Linked DNA regions of Neodiprion lecontei. The protein of the gene in region 2 purifies or fractionates together with the protein of the main gene of each other region. This does not show direct contact. Links are inferred from orthologs where the notes say so. Each region holds a gene or a part of one and is shown on either strand. Other genes may lie near its edges.

Region 1 (7,313 bases), about 20 Mb from region 2:
AACAGCTGATTACGAGAATGTGATTTTGAAATGTTACGGTGGTACAAAGCTATAATGTAAAAATATTGATTAGACACGTGGATACAATGATTATTAGCTGAAAAACGAAGAATCGATAGAAAAGTATAAGTATATATCATCAAGAAACCAACCTGTCATAATGACAAGGATTGTCACAACATGTGCGAATATGATGCTTGTCTACCAATCCCACTCTCCAAGCTTTGATCACTTCACTTCCACCTTGAAAGGGTGGACAGTTGAGATCGAACAGCAATAGTTCAGAAAGTCCCTTCCCCCCCCGTTGACTAAAGAAGAGCCGCAGGTGTGTCTTCAATGTTGGGTCGCTCTCATTGGTCAACGGTGAGCCCTGACCAAGGCCTGCAGATGTTTGTCATCTTTGGAATGAAGGGAAACTGCCGGTGATAACCAAGGTCCATGGTTCAAGGCCACCAAGGCCTTTCTGCTGCGTCGACAGCCAGTCAGTTGAATTGCCTCGGAAGAGGCAACTCGGTTTCCACGAAGAGGTGGTGCACGCGTCAACATGACGCAAAGCCTTGATTGAGGCTCTCCAGGATGATGAGGAACTCGTTCGCACGGACAAGATGTTGCAGTAGAAAAACGTAGCTGGTCTCTGGGTGACGATGACGGGGAATGGTGACTCCGCTAAGGCGGAGGTTGCTAGATGGTGAAGAATCGGCAACTGCGGCAGCTGTCCTTAGCTGCTGATGCGATGTGGTACGACGTAGAAGACGGATCACGCTATGGTTGACGGTTGATAGAAAGGCGGCCAATCGGATGCAGAGAGGAACACATCCGAATGCCATTGGGACAAAAGGGTTGAGCCCCCGCAACGGTTTCTACTTATAATAATGGGGAATTCAAAGAGACGTGATAAGACTTGTCATATATAGTGCAATTCAACAATTTTCACCTACGCACTTCACTTTTTTTTTTATGTCAAAGTCTGCTTTGTTTTGTTAAATCTACCGCTAAGATCACTACATTACATAGAAGGAATGATACTTCCAAATTTAATTATTAAGGCTGTTACATGATGATGTTGCGATAAATAAATTTCACGTCCTTCAGAAAGGCAATAATACGTTCTGCTTCATTTTTTCCTTGCTGAGCAAGAAATGCATTGTTTGACCAATGAGTAGGATGTTTATGAGTGTTTCAACACCAAATTAGCATCCCAAGATTCATTCATTGTAATAGTAGCAAATTTAAGAATTTAAAGCTATTAGAAGGTGCGAAACTACATCTTATTGTCAATAATATGACAATTCTAGGTTTCTCAGACATGAATGACAATTTTGATCAGGACAATTCTGAAGTTACACAAAATGACGATGCATCAAAAAAGTACAAAACAAGTCTAACCAAATTTGCTAAAATCATACAACTTAAACCCTTCGAAACTTTAATCATAAAGTATTTGCCAAAATGTTTTCTGTAATCCATGATAAAATTCTTGAACTGGAAACATTCATATCAAATCAGGTGCTACATAAACGATGAATTCATTCCAAAGATATGTGGGACTTTTACCCGAAATATGGATTTATGCTTTCACAGTTCGAGTGTTTTAGTTGATTTGAACAATAAAAATCAAAACAAAAGTAATCAAATCATTAAACTGATTTTTATCAATGATAATACAATTATTATTTTTTATTGCGCAGTAATTCTCTTGGTCAGGGGCCATATCAGACAGACTACTGTAAATTTACAAGATTGAAGTCAGTGATATTACTGTAACAAAACATTGAAAAAAAGATTACTAGGTTGCAATTGTAGATTGACTTCGAAAAAGTTTAGTTTCCAAAGTATGAAAAATTTTGCCTTACGATGTACTGAATTTCAAAAAATCCCAACGTTACAGAATAGCGTATTTTGAAAAAAAAAAATAATGTATTATTATATTAATATTCCAAACATCAACCTCATGTCTATTTATCAAAAGATCTTATAACGTGGACTGATTGTTTCAACTATTTTTTGAATCTACGCTCAATTGGAAGAAAAAACCAATGTATTTGTATAATATTTACTAGAAAGACTGTTCTTTGAGCCCTGAATTTATTTTTCTGCGTTATAAGTATGTTTTTAAAATTAAATGACTGGTGTTTTGAAACAGAAACAGAGATACTCATATTTGAGATGTGGAAATACATCATTGGACAAATTTCTTTGAGGAAACATTCTAGACATGTGATCGCCATCGCCATTGCCAAGCGTTTCTTGCAATTTTTATCGAACTCCATGATTGTGTACAGCAGAATTATTGAGAAAACTGCATACCATAATTCAGTTATCACCCAACAGAATTACTGAGCCAAATTTCTTCGTTGAAGTTATTGAAAACTTAATGAAAAACACCTTACAATTATCGGTTTGACATTTTTGTAACTGTCAAGATGAAGTGCACATAATTCATTGGTACGAGCAGCTGAGTGTGATCGCATATCTTTTTGTCCGGACTATATCTATGATAATGTGTGTCAAAGTAAATGTTCTATGCTGAGGGGAAAAAGCCGAGTATACAAACTGCTTATTCAATTATTTAGACCATTCTATCCATTTAAATCAAAAAGAAAATAAGTAACGATTTAAAACAAAAAGGATATTCTAAATGTTCTTACCTTTTCCTCCAGCTGGTTGTAGACGAACTCAACCACTACATCATCTTCCATGCCAAGGATCTGATTTATTTTGGTAGTAATCCAGGGCTTAATAACGTCCAATTTTACTTTGCTCATGTCTACCTGTAATTTGAAATTATTTTTTTTCAATACTCGTACCGTATCATTCACTTTTGATTGAAATAAAATGATCTAGTAACCTACTCACAGCTAATAAAGTACAAGGTTGAACTTAGTAACGTAATTTATTACAAGGTTGAAGTTAGTAACGTTAACGTATGAAAAAAATCATTATTGCGCAATTTTAGAATAACTTTGAAGGAGTTGGCTTTTTAAAATAAGAGTATGTTTACTTGATCACAGTTTACTACATTTCAGACATTCCTAAAGGTGCAAAGTAATGATTTATCCTAAACATGCATCGTTACAGTAATGTTACCAACTTCATCCCTATAATTTATTGATGTCCTGTTCAAGTAGAGACAAGAAAATCACTAAGTTTTCAGTGTTAGCAAACTACGTACCAAGTGACGTTACACATGATTCGTTGACATTAATTCAAAATACATTACCGATATGCAATGGTATTGAAAGACGAAATATTGAAACTAATTACTGTCCGTTTACTAAAAGAAAGGTTAGAGATGAATCCTAAGAAACCGGATGAAAAAAATACACAAGTATTGGCTTGACAGTAAGATCGTCATTATAGAATAAAGGTTCATTAGATGTGATGACACATGACTATTGATAAGAGTGAATATGTGAATATGTTAAAATATCACAAAAGTGCCGCGTGCTGCAAGGGAGTTGCGTTTCATGTATATTTCACAACACTCTAAACGCGTCAGACATTGACAGCATGGTTCTTACTTCATGTGTATGTTTTGGATTTGGATTGCAACCGAATATAATAATTCATAAAAGCTTTGACTGCAGTTCAACTGATCTATGCTTGTCCGGACATCGGTTAAAAATTCAGGACACGTCCGCAGCATTAAAATATTAACGGAAAGTATTTCAGTTGTGAAAATTGACTGAAAGTGGCGAGTCACTCACGAGGGGCTTCGAATGAAACCCCATTATGAAATACTAATATATTTTTAGTTGGATCTGGAAAGTTCAATTGCTAAGTAGAACCCTACCTTTTGGGTTAGAGAATCACCAAATTTCATCTGCTTCAACAATTTCTTCTCCTTATCGCTGAACCGCGTATCCTGCGATGCCGTGGTCCCCTGTAAATACATATGCAAAAACAGTTAGTGAAGATAACACACAATGTAAAGATGTGATATTGTATGAAAAATACGCGCAAGATCTCACCGTGTACATCATCTCTGCCGGTTGTTACAATCGCTGCTAAGCCTGAAATTGGACGAGGGCGAAAGGCCTGCTGCGCGTTGTGTACGCTCGGGAACAGTAAACCTGTATTTTAAAGTTGCAGAAGAAACGGCATAATGACGTTGAGTCACTAGAAAATATAATTTTAGATGGTGGAGTGAAACGTACCCAGTCGATGATATTTTTAGCGACAAAATATGTACGATTATTTCGTTTCAGCACACATTCGCGAACAACAGTTGACTCTGCGATACTAGTCAATCTAACAACATGGCTAATGGCTGCGGCGATGCTGCTTACTTTTCCTGCTTACATTGCTGCCGCACGGTGTTGCCAGATGGTACACGTAATGCGTCTATTGGCCGACGACGGCGCGATCTACCGGCTATTTCCTGAGTTATTCTCTCTGGCCGCGGTTTGGGACCATAGACTTAATTAATTTGGAACCAAGCGCGGATTTGGACGGCTGCCGATCAGTCTGCTCAGTGGTCTGCTCATGTCCGCTCTGTGAGTTCGGTAAGATTACGTATACGGGAATCATTAGAAGAAACTTCAGAATCTAAACAAATGGATTCAGAAAAAATGGAAGATTCTCCACTTTGGTAAGTGTATAATATAGTTCGTTGTCGCCTTCACCAGCCAGCTTTGACATGGACAAAATGTGTCGTTTGGCCGTTTCAGAATTTTTCAAATCGTTCAATGCATTAATTAAGAGTCAACCGTGTCATGACAAATATTTCGGGAATATGTCCTTGCGCCTAAAGAAGTCAGATCGCTGCATCAGACACACTCGACAGTTTCATAGGGTTCGGACGCTATACTTTGTTGTGTAATGACTGGATTAATTCTCGTAAAAACAAAACCCGAGAAAATAGATACGAGAAAATATTACCCCGAATTATTCATTTTGATCAGAATATTTGTCATCGGTTTATCACGTTCTTAAGCAGTAACACCAGTCTCGGATTTTAGAAATTTCGATTTCTTTTATATTCGGCTTAAACAATACTTTGGGGTCATGAAAACAATATCCAGTTGGTCCTATAGTGAAAAAAAAATGTTAAAAGCTTCAATTCTCGTTTTTGCCACAGTGTATCGGAGCGCGCGCTGATCGTGAGTGCTCGTAAAACTTTAAACGCAATTTTTTCGAAACCACTTTTCAAAGTGGAAGGACAGATTACTTGAACACCGTTGTATGGATCGATTTGAAATTTTGACAATCGCTTCACAATACATTCTATATGGAATTACGTCGCCGTTTTTTTATTTAATGTAAATTTTGTTTTTTTTTCAATTTATTGCTTATTGATTGGCCAAAAACCTACTCATTTCTTTTCAAACGTGCACCATTTCTACAAAATTAGATTGAAAAAAAGCCCCTGCGTGCTTCCAGAACAATAGGATACATGTAGATTATAAATTTTTTTTATATCTTGTGTCAGGTCTTATAGTTTATGAGAAATCCATCCTCTCGTGAAGGAGTTTTAAAGAAAGGCTAAAAAATTATATTAGCCAAAAGTATTGACTTTTGACAGGTTTACTTAATGGTATTTCTTATGTTTTTATTTGACACCTTTATTTTCATCCCGCTTTCTGCCTGTGGACAATACTTTTACCGAATTTTGCGAGGAGAGGCCCTTTTATGATCAGTGTGCTTAATTGTTCCATCTATGGACCCACTTATAAACTGACCATTTACAATCTACTTTTTTAACATTGCATATGAAATATTGTACTTCCAACTTTTGTGAGTTCTTACGAATACATAATTTTTTGCATAATGCACCTGTTATATAAGAAATCAAAATTATATATGCAACCTCAATTTCACGTGATTAAATTTCAATAACTACTAACATAGTATCAATATTTCAGATGCCTTGTATGTGTTTATTTTCACAATTTTTAAATATCAAATTAGGTAACTGATTCATCAATTTAAAAAGATTCCATCAAATCGATTATCATGTGACTACTTTATAGGAAATTCTGATTTTTGACACGTGGTGTAGGTTTATGAATAGCTATACATAAACGTGTCTAATAGTTCGATGTTCGATTGCGCAACTTTGAAACAAAGCACAAAATCAACGCAGATAATTATCTGGCAACAAGCTAGTTGGTGGTGCAAGTGTGGAGGTCATTACCGTGGTGGCATACACCTCAGTCATGATCGGATTGTATGCTTTTCACTCAATGAATGTTGAATGAGGATTTGAAATATACCTGTTCAATGACGTGTCTCCTGCCATTAGATTTGCACGTCAAGTAATAAACCTAGACTTTTATTTGAATAGTTGCATCAATGAGGCTAACAGAAAATAAAACTCAAACATTTATTAAAAAATTTTTACTGTGCTTTCAAATTACATATATGTTGTTATGTAATACTAAGAAATACAAGTTCAGCACTCTTATGTTTATGATTATAACACAGCCACAGTTTGTACCAAAAATTACTTATATGCAACAGAAATAAAAAGTATGTTCGAATATACGTTCTTAGATAAATAACTAAAAAGTTAATTCATTTCTCATAAGTATTTGAATGTCCTACTGGCAGTTAAAATTAATTCTTGATCTGAAGAACAGACAGTATATTAAATGAAATTATATAGGTCAGATATTCCATTTGCAATTAATGAATTAGTTGCAGTTCAAGTTAATTTGATATTGTCAAATTATCAAATTCATATTAAATAAAAATAAATAAGTCAATTTAAATAATTAGTGAAAATTTAAAAGCAAATATCAATTATATTGATATACCTTTGAATGTGGACAATAATTTGCATAGATATCCATTTTATGACGAATGAATCATTCACAAATAGTCATTGATTATGATCAAGAACTTGCAGAGCACGATGCAGGGTAGAGGATGCCATTAAAATTTGTTTAGTACATAGAATACTCCTGGATGTAAATATGTCCATAGGGTTCAGCTTGAAGCAGTTTCACTTGTTTTGATTTATGCAGTTCTGAAATTCGAATCCAATGAAGAACCATTTCAAATTATCTCACCGAATAAAATATCATTACAGCAGATATAATTGTTTTATTTTAAAATTATTTACATATCAATAAAGGTAGAATCTTTGAATTATCGATTAAAATATTCTCTCTCCATTAATGTATTTTTATACAACTAGTTGAAAATTTAACTAATTCCATTTTTTGTAAATAATGAAGAATAACAGCATTTAAACTTGCAAGAAGAACTATTGGGCCCTTTTTTCAATAAATGAAAACTAAATCTTAAATTATTTAATAAATTTTCAGCTCCTTTATTCTTAGTTAATGTTCTGAAAGAGTCATAGTATA
Region 2 (6,947 bases):
TGAAAGATACGTGTGTATATATTACCTAAATTTAACGGTCAATTCTTCTTCCCACTTCTCGGACTGGAGAGTGTGATAAGCTGTACCCTACGCGGAGTTTTAGCTGCTATCACATTAGGAACTATTGGTTTTGGAGGTGTTTTTTTAACAATGTCACTTATATTTTCTGTGTTACTTTCTTCTGTGTAAACAAGTTTTATATCTTCCGTCTCTTCAAGAACTACGTCATCAACATCTGTCGACTTTGTATTTTGGACGTTTTTCACAAGTTTATCATCTTTATTACCATTATTCGCCTCTTCGCTAAAGTCAGATGCTTTCACAGGTTTCGTAATGTCAATATCCATTGCGTCACTGCACATATCAATAATGAATTCAGTCTTCTCGGCATTATTAGTCTTACGCTTTGATTTGGATGAATTTGAATGCACAGATTTCGTTTCTGTCGTGTCATTTATGTTTACCAAACTAGATTCATACACATTTCCCAATTCTCCGTCTTGGAAATGAATTATTGAACAATAACCGTCTGTTGACGAAACGACTAAAAGACGTCCGTCGGACGACCTGAAATACACACAAATAGAATTTAAATGCAATAATGTCGTATTGCTGTGCATTGTGAAACGCAGCATTTCATTTAACTCACCACGCAATGTCTGTCAATCTGGTATAATGAATGTTCGAAATTATTGCAATTGGAGAAACTTGTTGAGTGTCATATATGAGGACGGAACTTTTTGTAGCAACTGCAAATACTATTCTATAAGGAATTCCTATCATCGATACCGGGCCATCTTCTCTCAACTTAAAGTAAATAGGACAACAACGTACAGCTACTGTAAATTGTTCCAAAGACGGCAACACTACTATAGGCCTGAAAAATTAAAAGATATCGCGTTTAGACATGTCTGTTAGTAGAAAAGCGATGTTTCCAAATTCTGCATACAAAAATCCGATAATAAATGTAATGTAATCGTACATACTCCTTAATATTATGCCTGGAGAAGATAATTGTTGCATTGGACAACTTTTCAGAAGATTCTTGAGGTTCAATAATGCCAGATGGCGCAATAATCAATAAGCCATCGGGTGAAAACGTAAGTCTTCTGAAGAAGGATTGAAAAGTGTCATCATAAAACAAGCGTACAGTTTTGTCTTTCAGTGGGTGATTGGCTGGCGTGGGGATCTTGGCCTTACTGACGCGCTGAACAGTTTTTTTTGTGTTTATATCAAATAACCGGCATTGCCTGTGGACAAAGAAATTTGTGAGCCCAATTTGCACGGGAGAAAGATCATTTTTTGTCGAAAACTATATGCTCTACTACCTGTCTGTACTTAATGTGCACACGTATTGATTTGACGGATCCCATGAAACTCCTTGAACAAATCCTTTATGATCTGATAATATACCCATGCTTCGCCCTTTTTCAACATCCCACAGAATGGCAGTATTATCAACAGAGCCGGAGACTAAAAAATTGGAATCAGGGGACCAGCTCAAATCGTAAACATCCTCGACGTGGCCTCGAAGGATCTTCCATAAATTCCATTGTTCTTTATTCTGATTTGTATCATCCCCTGCAAGTGGGGGTGGTTCAAATTCGCCCCTTTCTTTCCATAACATTATCGCAGACTCTGAAAGAATGAATTAAAAAAATTAAGGATTAAATAATTCAGAGTTAAAAACTGTATTACTCCATTTTCCTTGCTCACCGTCATCACCAGATGCAAGGATTTCACCCGAAGGAGAAAATCTTACAACATTAACTGCCTTCTGATGGCGACTCAAGTCCCCAACAAACTCCACAACCGTTGCTCCCACTTCATTTACTGTGAGATGCCAAATCTAGATTAAATATTGCAAATTAATTGAATAATATTTATTTGGTCACAATATTCAGGTTGAAAAAATCGAATATCTTTTAAAACTAATTTAGGCTTTTCATTCAGGTCAATTACCCAGAATTCGCGATGGTAAAAATTGAAACTCTTTACTTACCAGAACATGAGAATCCGCACCACCAGTAGCCAAACGCCAAAATATTTTACCGTCCGAAGTCTTATTTACACCGGGTTTTAGGTCAATACTCAGAACAGGATCGCGATTATGCCAGGATATTTCAGGAATCGTACACTTCATTATGTTTAATTAGAAGAACATGTATGAGAAAACGATAATTTTAACTGCGCCGTGTTTCGTCTATCCCGATTTTTATTAAAATTAAATCCACACTTCAATCGGTGATTATTATTTTCTACACATAACCTGATTTTGTACTGCACGAAGAATTTCGCGCGAAACGCTCCAACGTAGTCTGTGGTTCAGAGAACAATGAAGAAAATCGGTGCATGTGGGAGTTTCAACTCTGTAGAGACAATTAGTTCCTAAAAGTCACGATAGAGGTCGATCAATTAAGAAATTGCAACCCTGACTGTTGGTAGCATTGGCTCTTGACGCCACCTTGACGCCATCAACTTCATTGAGAGCGAATTACACCTTTAATCAATTTGTAGCGAAAATTCATGCTAGCGAGAATTTTCGTGGCTTCTTACTTTATTTCGTTTGTAGTTAATTAAATTACAAACAAAATGCCACGTATAATGATAAAAGGTGGTGTTTGGCGCAACACCGAAGTAAGTAACAATTTTCTAACCTCGATTATGAATTTCAAATGCGCCGAACCTTGCGAGATAAAAGCCGCTGATAATACTCAAAATCAGCACTCTAAATTCTTCGGTTATAATTCAAAAATAATTATGCTTGATTTCTGGACAGATCATTGCATCAAAATTCACTGTACTATATATCTTACTTCATTTCATTTTACCTCATACCTGTATAATAGTTGAGTTGGAAACTTTTCGTCCGACATAATTATACACACGTAGCAATTTATATATATTTTCTAGGATGAAATTCTCAAAGCAGCGGTTATGAAATATGGAAAAAACCAATGGTCACGTATAGCCTCACTGCTTCACAGAAAGTCTGCTAAACAATGTAAAGCACGATGGTTCGAATGGTTGGATCCAAGTATAAAGAAAACAGAATGGAGTCGAGAGGAAGACGAGAAGCTTTTGCATTTGGCAAAGTTAATGCCAACACAATGGCGTACCATAGCTCCAATTATCGGACGTACCGCTGCCCAATGTTTAGAACGCTACGAATATTTGCTGTAAGTACGATTGAGTCATGTCTTAAAAGTCAGCAGTAATAGAGAATTAGCGCTAATCTTATCCTCCATTGAATACTATTTAATTTTCAGAGATCAAGCTCAAAAAAAAGAAGAAGGAGAAGATGCAGCTGATGATCCTCGCAAATTAAAACCAGGCGAAATTGATCCCAATCCAGAGACAAAACCTGCTCGCCCTGATCCAAAGGATATGGACGAAGATGGTAACTGTTGACATGTATTACGATTATAACTAATAAATTCATTACGTTCATTGATTCAGAAAATACTTGATAATAATCTCTAATTTTATCCAGAACTTGAAATGCTGTCGGAGGCCCGAGCTAGATTAGCAAATACTCAAGGTAAAAAGGCTAAGCGTAAGGCCAGGGAGAAGCAGTTAGAAGAAGCCAGACGATTGGCGGCGCTTCAGAAACGAAGAGAATTACGAGCTGCTGGAATTACAGTGTCTCAGAAACACAAACGCAAACGTGGCGTAAACTACAACACTGAAATACCATTTGAAAAACGGCCAGCACTTGGTTTTTATGATACATCAATAGAACATGTTGATCCCCTAGCAGCTGACTTTTCTAGAATGCGTCAACAACATTTAGATGGAGACCTGAGGCAAGAAAAGGAGGAGGTACAATATGTGGAATTCTATTTTGAATGAAGTCAACCAATAAGTGTTAAGAGCAACTTTTCTCATTCTATTTGGTCCAAATAATTGTATAATAATCGTAGATGGAGCGACGCAAGGACAAGCAAAAGCTCAAGCAAAGAAAAGAAAATGATATTCCAATGGGAATGCTAAACAATCAAGAACCAGTTAAAAAGAGGAGTAAACTGGTCTTGCCAGAGCCACAGATATCTGATCAAGAATTACAACAAGTTGTCAAGCTTGGTAGAGCTTCTGAGGTATCAAGTGTTGCATATGTTTTATTGAGTATTCAATCCATCCACAATTTTATTCTTGTTTTCAGTCAACATAAGCACATACAAATGATGTAGTATACTTTTTATTAGGTGGCTCGAGAAGTTGCAACAGAAAGTGGAGTGACACTATCCGACAGCTTATTGGCGGACTATTCTCTGACTCCAAGTGCAGCAGCAACTCCTCGCACACCAGCTGCTACGGACAGAATTCTCCAGGAGGCTCAAAATGTGATGGCTTTGACCCATGTTGACACACCTCTAAAAGGTGAACTTCGTTTTCATGAAATTACGTCTTTAGATTACAAATCTTGCAATAACGTTATTAAAAACTGTTACCACATGTTTTGTAAATCAACTTTGCAGGTGGTTTGAATACACCGCTACACAGTTCGGATTTCAGCAGTATTTTACCTGCTAATAATGTTGTGGCTACACCCAACACTGTATTGGCAACGCCATTCCGCTCACAACGCACTGACGGTACACCTACAAATTCGTTCAATACGCCAACATCTACACGAAGTCAAGCTGGAGCTCTGGTACCGACACCTGTTCGCGATAAACTGAGTATCAATCCAGAAGAAGGACTGGAAGGTTCAGAGACCCCTGCTCTTCACAAGCAGGTATTCTCAAATTATGAGAATAGTGAGCTGTACCCGAAAAGATCAGCAATTCATCAGCACATCAGCTGATTCCATAGTAGAATTACAGTTTTCATTTTTTTTTATTAGGTGAAAGAACAGCTACGTGCTGGATTAAGTACTTTACCCACACCTCGGAATGATTATGAAATAGTTGTTCCTGAAGGTGAAGGAGATGATGAAAAAGGAAACGAGTCTTCAGACAATATAATAGAAGATCAAGCTGACATTGATGCTAGACGTCAACAGGAAATAATTGAGCAGCGTAAGTTTCGTAATCCAGAAGTAACTATCAATTTGCTCAAAATTATATTTCATCCAAAAGTCATGAAAATTTGATTGATTATTGTTCAGAAAAAAGGGATCTTGCTCAAAGATCACAAGTGATCCAACGAGATATGCCCAGACCCGTAGACATCAATATGAACATCTTGCGACCGCTTATGGATAGTCCACTAACGGACTTGCAGAGGGTATTGAAACAGAAAATAGTCCAATAATCAAATGTAGCAGTAAATGTTGATTATGAAAATTCAAAATATTAAATATTCATTTCAGGCCGAAGAATTAATAAAGAGAGAAATGATCACAATGCTTCAGTACGACTCGCTGGAAAACCCAGTGACTACAATTACCAAACGAGGATCAAGTTCTTCAATTGTACAAGCTACCGCATTTCTGGAACAGCATCCCTACATAGACTACGATCCAGAAGAACTTGCGCAAGTAAGTGAAGTTACTATCTGACAAATACTACGTTCTGCCCTACAAAAAATAAAGTTGATTTTGGTATCGAGACTTTTTTATACTATGCTCCAATTTTAACTGAAGTATAACCTTTTCACAGGCTCGTAAACTTTTGGAGCAAGAAATGGCAGTTGTGCGGGAAGGAATGGCACATGGAGAACTAAGTTTAGATGCCTATTCTACTGTCTGGGAAGAATGTCTGTCACAGGTTTGTTTTTGTCGTCTTTTGTTACAGTTCATCACGCAAAGAATTATATGAACGTGATTAAAAAATTAAATCGATTATTTATTATAGATTCTATATCTGGAGAATCAGAAGCGATACACAAGAGCTACTTTAGCTTCAAAGAAAGATAGGGTCGAAGCATGTGAAAGAAAATTAGAAGAAAACCGTGTTCATATGACTGGGGAAGCAAAACGTGCAGCGAAAATGGAGAAGAAGCTCAAAATATTGACTGGAGGCTATCAGGTAAAGTAATATCTGTGGAATTGTATCGTGATGTCATGATTGAACGATTCTGAATTCAACAAAATTCAAATTATCAATATGCTCCTCTTTATGAATTTCTGCTAACATCTTTTCACAGACACGTGCACAAGGATTATCAAAACAAATACATGACTTATGGGAACAAATCGAACAGGCTCACCTCGAACTATCAACTTTCAAATTTCTCCAAGCACAAGAGGAAGCTGCAGTACCAAGGCGACTGAATGCACTCATGGAAGACGTCAATAGGCAAACTGAAAGAGAACGTATCTTGCAAAATAAATTTGCTGAGCTTCAAGATCAGTTGCAGCAGTTACAAGTGCAATAACGTTAACATAAGAGAGGTTAGATGAAATACTGAAGAAAAAAAAGTAAATATTAAATGAGGAATTGTTCACCTCGTTCCAAAATTAGCAACTTATGATAAAAGATTAATAAATGACTGCATAATTTATACATGATAATCATTCACGAATGTATTTGTGCTGATATTTCTGGTCTTAAATAACTTTAAGTAATAAACAGTCTACATTTTCAAAGATCACTGAGGTCTACAGCATCTACTTGTGCGGTTATGCTCTCCTCTTTCTCAGACTCTGACTGTAGGACAGGAGGTGTTTCTATCGTTTTGGTTGGATTTGCGGTTTCAAGCTTAGCCCAAGTCCCTGGTTCAGCTTTTTTCAATTTTATTTCTACTTTAGTCGGCAACATGTTTACGCTACTTTCTTCCACATTGACTACCTAAAATAGTGCAAAAATAATCCTTGAAATATAGTTGTCCAATCAAAATTTAGCTATTTGTTTGTTGTCAAAATTATTTACACTGAAATGAAATAATTCGACATTGAATTGTTATTAATTGTGAAACTTTACCCCTCTGAGTTCAACATCCAGCTCATATCTGGAATCTTCCTCTTGGAAGTACAGATCCACAGTCAATCGTACTGGATTTAA

What was found.
Region 1: the proteins of cell division cycle 5-like protein (region 2) and serine/arginine repetitive matrix protein 1 purify together in Homo sapiens (affinity purification with mass spectrometry; 4 studies listed by BioGRID and IntAct, with this or other methods). This does not show direct contact. The link is inferred for Neodiprion lecontei from reciprocal best matches to the Homo sapiens genes CDC5L and SRRM1.

What each region holds. Positions count from the first base shown.
Region 1 is NC_060260.1:24,701,006-24,708,318, forward strand, and holds the start of serine/arginine repetitive matrix protein 1, read right to left. Parts: upstream 4,315-7,313; 5' UTR 4,158-4,314; intron 4,074-4,157; 5' UTR 3,984-4,073; coding exon 3,972-3,983; intron 3,884-3,971; coding exon 3,794-3,883; intron 2,772-3,793; coding exon 2,649-2,771; intron 864-2,648; exon of another isoform or gene 153-863; intron 1-152. Other genes in the region: uncharacterized protein LOC124293066, read right to left, coding at 6,888-6,970. UniProt on the Homo sapiens protein: Part of pre- and post-splicing multiprotein mRNP complexes. As a component of the minor spliceosome, involved in the splicing of U12-type introns in pre-mRNAs. Involved in numerous pre-mRNA processing events.
Region 2 is NC_060260.1:4,639,511-4,646,457, forward strand, and holds cell division cycle 5-like protein, read left to right. Parts: upstream 1-2,474; 5' UTR 2,475-2,592; coding exon 2,593-2,637; intron 2,638-2,913; coding exon 2,914-3,179; intron 3,180-3,269; coding exon 3,270-3,400; intron 3,401-3,493; coding exon 3,494-3,822; intron 3,823-3,923; coding exon 3,924-4,097; intron 4,098-4,205; coding exon 4,206-4,380; intron 4,381-4,478; coding exon 4,479-4,738; intron 4,739-4,846; coding exon 4,847-5,021; intron 5,022-5,110; coding exon 5,111-5,229; intron 5,230-5,314; coding exon 5,315-5,482; intron 5,483-5,603; coding exon 5,604-5,711; intron 5,712-5,768; exon of another isoform or gene 5,769-5,798; coding exon 5,799-5,972; exon of another isoform or gene 5,973-6,090; coding exon 6,091-6,321; 3' UTR 6,322-6,447; downstream 6,448-6,947. Other genes in the region: chromatin assembly factor 1 subunit B, read right to left, coding at 39-567, 650-877, 987-1,250, 1,329-1,638, 1,717-1,849, 2,003-2,143; cysteine and histidine-rich domain-containing protein morgana, read right to left, coding at 6,528-6,734, 6,867-6,947.